Linked DNA regions of Schizosaccharomyces pombe. The protein of the gene in region 1 interacts with the protein of each later gene in a biochemical or structural test. Each region holds a gene or a part of one and is shown on either strand. Other genes may lie near its edges.

Evidence for each region.
Region 2: of the proteins of hrk1 (region 1) and hht1, one has a biochemical effect on the other in vitro, tested with the Schizosaccharomyces pombe proteins (one study listed by BioGRID).

What each region holds. Positions count from the first base shown.
Region 1 is NC_003424.3:1,032,436-1,036,493, forward strand, and holds hrk1 (haspin-like kinase Hrk1), read left to right. Parts: upstream 1-1,860; coding exon 1,861-3,327; 3' UTR 3,328-3,557; downstream 3,558-4,058. Other genes in the region: coronin Crn1, read left to right, coding at 1-151, 193-281, 331-1,732; SPOM_SPAC23C4.04C (uncharacterized protein), read left to right, coding at 3,598-3,908, 3,962-4,058. UniProt on the Schizosaccharomyces pombe protein: Serine/threonine haspin-like protein kinase involved in cell cycle regulation. Acts in chromosomal passenger complex (CPC) targeting to centromeres by phosphorylating histone H3 at 'Thr3' (H3T3ph).
Region 2 is NC_003424.3:4,697,609-4,701,184, forward strand, and holds hht1 (histone H3 h3.1), read left to right. Parts: upstream 1-2,123; 5' UTR 2,124-2,220; coding exon 2,221-2,631; 3' UTR 2,632-2,952; downstream 2,953-3,576. Other genes in the region: multifunctional aromatic polypeptide Aro1, read left to right, coding at 1-884; hhf1 (histone H4 h4.1), read right to left, coding at 1,477-1,788. UniProt on the Schizosaccharomyces pombe protein: Core component of nucleosome. Nucleosomes wrap and compact DNA into chromatin, limiting DNA accessibility to the cellular machineries which require DNA as a template.

The DNA.
Region 1 (4,058 bases):
TGGAGGTGCATTGGCAGTTATCCCTTTAAACGAAAGAGGAAAGCTTCCCGATCAAGTTAATTTGTTTCGGGGCCATACTGCGGCTGTTTTAGATACTGATTGGAATCCCTTCCATGATCAAGTATTAGCATCCGGCGGTGATGATTCTAAGGTATCCTGCTATTTGACTTTATTTATGTATTAACGAATTAGATTATGATATGGAAAGTACCAGAAGATTATACTGTTATGGAGCCTTATGAAGATGTTCATCCAATTGCTGAATTAAAGGGCCATAGCCGGTATGTCGTACATTGCATTAGGGTTTTAGTTACTGACTTTTTTGTATAGTAAAGTTGGTCTTGTTCAATATCATCCCACTGCAGCGAATGTTTTGGCATCTTCTAGTGCAGACAATACTATCAAGTTGTGGGATTGTGAGAAGGGTGTAGCCCATGTATCTCTGAAAATGGATGTAATGTGCCAGTCTATGTCGTTCAACGCTGATGGTACCAGACTTGTAACAACTTCTCGAGATAAGAAAGTTCGCGTCTGGGACCCTCGTACTGATAAACCAGTCTCCGTTGGAAATGGTCATGCAGGTGCTAAAAATCCCCGTGTCGTTTGGCTCGGGAGCCTTGATCGTTTTGCTACAACTGGTTTCAGTAAAATGAGTGATCGTCAAATCGCTTTATGGGACCCTACCAATCTGTCTGAACCGATAGGTGGTTTTACCACATTAGACACCGGTTCGGGAATCCTTATGCCATTCTGGGATGATGGAACAAAGGTAATATATCTAGCAGGTAAAGGTGATGGTAATATTCGCTATTACGAATATGAAAACGATGTTTTCCATTATTTATCTGAATTCAAGTCCGTTGATCCCCAACGAGGCATTGCCTTTTTGCCAAAACGCGGAGTTAATGTTTCTGAAAACGAAGTTATGCGTGCTTATAAGTCCGTGAACGATTCTATCATTGAACCTATAAGTTTCATCGTTCCTCGCCGATCTGAAAGTTTCCAAAGCGATATTTACCCTCCAGCCCCATCTGGTAAACCAAGCTTAACAGCTGAAGAATGGGCCAGTGGGAAAGATGCTCAGCCTGATCTTTTAGATATGTCTACTTTGTATGAGTCTAAAGGTACTGTTGAAAAGGCTGTTTCCGCTACAGTACCCTCAGCTGGTGCTCAGGTACAAAAACATAACGAAGAGAAGGTTGAGACACCAAAGCCCGAAGCTCAGCCAGTTAGCAAGCCGAAAGAATCGGCGGAAGAACAAAAGCCTTCCAAAGAGCCGGAGGTGAAACCAACTACTCCTTCGGCATCAAAAGTAGAAGAACCATCGAAGAAACGTGATGAGGATAATCATCAGAAAGAAGAAACTGTAACCCAGCCCAAGCGTGAGAAAACACCTGTTGAAAAATCTTTTCCGAAACCAGCTAGTAGCCCTGTTACCTTTTCAGAAGATGTAAAGAAAGAACCATCAGAGGAAAAGAAATTGGAAGTTTCTGACGAAGCACCCAAAGCTGCTCCTCTTGCCGAAAGTAAGAAAGTTGAAGAGAAAGAACCCTTTTATGTTTCAAAAGATAAGAAAGATATTTCAGCAGTCAATCTGGCCGATCTCAATAAACGTTTCGAAGGTTTTGAGAAACGATATGAGGAAGAACTCGCAATCCGAGACTGGAAAATTGCCCAATTGGAGGATAAGCTGGCTAAATTAACAGAAGCAATTAAAGAAAAATGTAATTAAGTTTTTTTGTGCATTTTTTATTTTGTCCAGAATGCTTTTTTAAACATATCACTAAGCCCGGACATCATGCCTTCTCCATCTCACCTCCGTACCTTACTACCTCAATATTTACAAATGTAGGAAAAGATATGGAAAGTCGTTCAAAAGTTAAAACTTATGGAAAGAACCGTAGATATATTAATAAAGATATTGAAATTTGGGCTTCTTTAGATGAACGGCCTTGTGCTTTGAAACCTCGGAACATTGAAAATTTTAATAACCAAGAAAGAAGTGACCTTGAGCATATTCACTCTAAACCGAAAAAAGATTCATTATTATCTTGGAACATTCTCTTAAAAAAAGGTTCATACAAAGAAAATGAGTTATTGGCGAAACGAAATCAAAACCTGGTACCTACTGTCATAATACCGGCTTCTCCTCGGGATAATGCATCAAAGTCGGTAGTCAGTAAAAAAGAGGTTGTAAATTTGTCATCTTCTGTTGCTTTATCCGGAAAACCCGCAAATAATTCCAAATTAGATCCACTTCATCGGCTCCTCCAAATAGTAGCGCAAGAAGACGCTCTTCCATTCAGTCAATTTGTTAAGTCTCAGACTTTTGAGATCCAAAAAATTGGCGAAGCAAGTTATAGTGAAGTATACCAAGCCAGCAATGCTGATGACGTTCCCGTTGTTTGGAAAGTTATCCCGTTTGGAGAAGACGGACAAGCTCAATATGCTGATGTCCTAAATGAAGTACAGATTAGCCAATGGATAAAAGTCGACGGTTTTGCAAACCTTCATCAAGTAGTTGTCGTTAAAGGTACTTATCCTTCACTTTTATTAGAAGAATGGGATCGGTATCTTATGCAAAATGGTTCTGAGAACGATCGACCAGATAGCTATTCATCAACGCAACTTTATTGTGTTTTATGTCTTGATCATTCAGGAACAGATCTGGAACATTTTGAGCTCCGTAGTTGGCGAGAGTGCTGGTCGGTTTTTTATGAAACATTAAAAATTCTTTCTTTAGTTGAAACTCGTTATGAGTTTGAGCATAGAGATTTACATTGGGGAAACATTCTTATTCGGAAAGCTGATCGGAGTGAAGAGGAAGTTTCGTTTCTTTTAAATGAAATATCGCTTGACGACATTGAAAGTGTCGATTTTCCCGGCTCACAAGATAAGGCTGATGATTTTGACAACATACTTCAAGTTACGCTGATTGATTTTACATTAGCCCGAGCATCGTATTCTCAGGGTATAATTAGTTACAATGAATTTAACGACCCCGATCTGTTTAACGGTGTAGATGACTACCAATTTGATATATATAGGTTAATGTCTAGAGTGACAAAAGGAAGATGGGCGCAGTTTTTTCCCATTACAAACGTTTTATGGCTGCATTATTTAATTCATCAACTTTTACACAAAAAGAACTTGTCATCGCCGTTAACAGAGACTGAGACGCTTATGAGAAGTCGTCTTAAGCAAATATTTAGGCTTATTGACCCTGTTAAAACAATGCAGTTCCAGCAGGCCGAAGACTCGATTCGCTCTAAATCTACAGTTACATCTGCAACTTCTCTCCTCAATTGGGTCCGTCAAAAATACTAATTATGGTTTTTGCATACTAAAAAATTGAACGGCGTTCGCATTTTTTTAATATTCCTTTCTTTTTCATGGTATGCGTTGCTAAAATCTTATACATATGTACTTATATTTTAAATTTTGGACGTCGAAGTGAACTTTTTTGGTTATTTTTTTTCTTAAAGTTGACCATTTTATGTGGGGTTTTTGTTGTACATAAAAAATTACATATCTTTGACTAGCAAAACTTATAAGTAAATAAGAATTATTAACTGTTTAAATCACAAATGAGTGTACATGTTTTGTTATTTCCTCAGTAAATCCTATGATGATTGTAGTCGCTATTATATAATTTCCAATATGGCTTTCTATTTCCCAGTTTATGATTCGGACTCTCCGACTACAGTGCACCATGATGAGCGGAAGGAGTCGTGGCGGTCCCATGGGTTTATTGTTTGCTTGCACATTAGGTGTTGCATCTGCTGTAAGTATAATTCAAAAATTAAAAAACCAAGCTTGAATATAGCGCTGAGAATTCAATCCCTCAAAATAATAAAAATACTAATCTTTCAGTTTTATTCTACAAAACCACTTTGGGATAAAAATAGGTAAATTGAATCAAACATTTATAAAAATGGCTAACTATAGTGGGGAATGATAGCCCAGAATATAAGCAATTGCGTTCGGAAATTGAAGCTACAAAACGTGATGAAGAGGTAAAGAACGGCGAACTTATCGACCCCAATGTAACAACAGAA
Region 2 (3,576 bases), 3.7 Mb from region 1:
AACTTAATGAAGCTCGTGTTTTGATAGGCGAAATTCTTCCCGAGAAATTTTTCCTTTTTGGTAAGCCTATTAAGCATTCTCGCTCTCCAATTTTACATAGCACCGCGTATGAGCTTTTGGGGCTCCCACATACCTATGAGGCATTCGAAACTGATACAGTTGACGAAGTGCAGAAGGTGTTAAACTTACCAGATTTCGGAGGCGCCAACGTTACTATTCCCTATAAGTTGTCTGTTATGAAGTTCATGGATGAACTCAGTGACGAGGCAAGATTTTTTGGTGCTGTAAACACTATAATTCCAATCAGAATTGGAGACAAACTTGTTTTGCGAGGTGACAATACTGATTGGCGTGGCATATACGATACATTTGCAAATGCATTGGATGGTGTCTCTCTTCGTGATACTAATGGATTAGTGATTGGAGCTGGTGGTACTAGCCGTGCTGCTATTTACTCATTGCATCGTTTGGGAGTATCCCGAATTTATTTGTTGAACCGCACTTTAGCCAACTCTTATCGTGTTCAAGACGTTTTCCCTCCTGATTATAACATCCATATAATAGATTCTGACAATATTCCTTCTGAAGAATTATCTAGTGTTACCCTTTCCGCGGTCGTCTCGACAATTCCTGCAGATATTGAGCTTCCTGAAAAAGTTGCATCTGTTATTAAAGCTTTGCTTGCTAACAAAGCCGATGGTGGAGTATTCCTTGACATGGCTTACAAGCCCTTGCATACACCTCTAATGGCTGTTGCATCTGACTTGGAATGGAAATGTTGCAACGGATTGGAAGCTTTAGTTCGTCAAGGTCTTGCGTCTTTTCATTTGTGGACTGGAATGACAGCACCATTTGATGCTGTTTATCAAAAGGTTATTGAGTAAGTCAACAATTCAAATTTTCGATTTAGTTAGGTATTTTGAAATCTATTTTGATACAAATGTAGAATAAAAATACAGGAAGTAATTTTTTTTAGCACTTCAGCTAGTAGAATCAGGAAGCCAATTGACGCTTGGTATGTCAATGATCAGTAAGCAGTCGCAAAATGTATGAACGCTGTAAATTTACAACAACAAAAATAATCTTGTAGAAGTGGAAACATTACTGTACCATTTTGCATACCAACTTGTATCTACTTTCGACTACAAAATGAAGTATTTTGCGAAACGTGATAATTAAGTTTATTAAAGTGTGACATTCAAAGACATTGTTTGCAAAAAATAATATCACCTACAAAAGAAACTAGTCATAAAAACATATGCAGAACAAATCCAATTAAAAACAGAACTTATAAGACTGCTGAAAAAGGGAAAGTCGCAGAAAGAGGTAATAATCCACAAAAATTATATTGATAGATAATTCAAATTTCACGAACAATTGCACAACATTTATAGCAGACAGGGGTAAAAAAGGAATTAAGTGGTAAATAATAAAGTGATATACAAACAAGGAGAAAAAAATCAATGTAATAGGAGTTTAACCACCGAAACCATAAATGGTACGGCCTTGACGCTTCAAAGAATAGACAACGTCCAAAGAAGTGACAGTCTTACGCTTGGCATGCTCAGTATAGGTGACGGCATCGCGAATAACATTTTCTAAGAAGAGCTTGAGAACAGCACGAGTCTCTTCATAAACCAAAGCGGAAATACGCTTCACACCACCACGACGAGCAAGACGACGGATAGCAGGCTTAGTAATACCTTGAATGTTGTCACGAAGAATTTTACGGTGACGCTTAGCACCACCTTTTCCCAAACCTTTACCACCTTTACCACGACCAGACATGTTAAGAAGTAGAAAAAATTAAAATCTACGCAAAAAAACGCGTAATTCTTTAAGTATAATAAAGATAAAGGGGTTTTCCGTTGACTAACAAAGGAACAATGAATTTATAGATGTCAACAGATGTTAACGGTAGGATAAAAGTCAATGCAAATTGACAAAGGATTTTATCCGTATTCAAAAACAATTAAAAGAAATGATTGTCTGAAGAGAGGGAAGTTGGGGCGACGCTGTCTATTTGTTTTGAATCTGCATCAAAACCCTAACCCTGCTTTTGATGAGATCGGGTGGATTCAAAACATATATATAGCAAATATCTGCAGTACGCTTGCGTTTCCATTAATTCTAAAGATCAACAATTGGCAAAAGTAGCACAACAGCTATTTTTTTCTCGATTGTCTTTTTATTTGATATTCATTCTACTAGCTTGATATAATGGCTCGTACTAAACAAACAGCTCGTAAGTCTACCGGTGGTAAGGCACCCCGTAAGCAATTGGCCTCTAAGGCCGCTCGTAAGGCCGCTCCCGCTACCGGAGGTGTTAAGAAGCCTCATCGTTATCGTCCTGGTACTGTCGCTCTTCGTGAGATTCGTCGTTATCAAAAGTCTACTGAACTTTTAATTCGTAAGCTACCTTTCCAACGTTTGGTCCGTGAAATCGCCCAAGATTTCAAGACTGACTTGCGTTTCCAATCTTCTGCCATTGGTGCTCTCCAAGAAGCTGTTGAGGCCTACCTTGTCTCTCTATTTGAGGACACTAACTTGTGTGCTATTCACGGAAAACGTGTTACGATTCAACCCAAGGATATGCAGTTGGCTCGTCGTCTCCGTGGCGAACGCTCATAATTTTCTCCAGGACTTTTGGCAATTGTAATTGAGACTAAATTAATTTTGATTGACTGCTTGCCTGTATTATACTGTCACCCTTTGATATGTTGCTACCAATAAGTGAAAAGCAGGCTTCGTGAATAATTGTTGTTTTTGTTCTACATTACCAAGAGCTAGATGAACGTTCACTTTGATGGGAACGGATATGTGTTAATTTGGTTGTTTGAATTTATCTTCAATTATAGAAACTTGTCGTTAATTCATGCGAATGAATTCAGCCTTGAGAGTGACAAGTTTAGATAACACATTATGTACATTAATGAAAACTAATGACAACAAGTACCTTTATTTGAAACATGATTTCTTTTATTTCAAGTATCTGTTAAATTTATGTCTTTTGTTTTATAAAAGAATACAGAACTACGAAGACAATGCTTTTTTTAAAAATCTTTACACTTTTGGTATTGAGATTTGGTTGTTATCGCAGCATTCTTTATCGTTTAATGGCGGTTCGCATAAAGAATTGCACATATTTATATGAACAAACTGTTTTCAGGTATTTACGAACTGTTTAATAGCTTAATAGCTTTGATATATCGCGGAAAGATATTTTGCAAAGACAAATCGAGCATGTAATGAACTTATCGGCCGAAAAAAAATAGACAATTCGTGAAAAATAATCAGTCATTCTTTCCTGCTTGTTATGTAACCTCTCTTTAGAACCTGGAATTGCATTTATAAGAGAATTAACGGTCGTTTTAATTCTTATTTTTAAAAATTTAGAGCTTTCTTAAGCATAGTTGAACGAGTAAAAGTAGTCCTTTGTTAGCGACTTCATAATTAAGCCTTGAAATTTATTCGGATGATTATTCTTAACATAAAAAGGAAGCGCTGCTGACTGCTATATTTGGTAATTGCGATTGCCTGTCATTTCGTGAAGTAGCAAAATATTTGTAATTTATT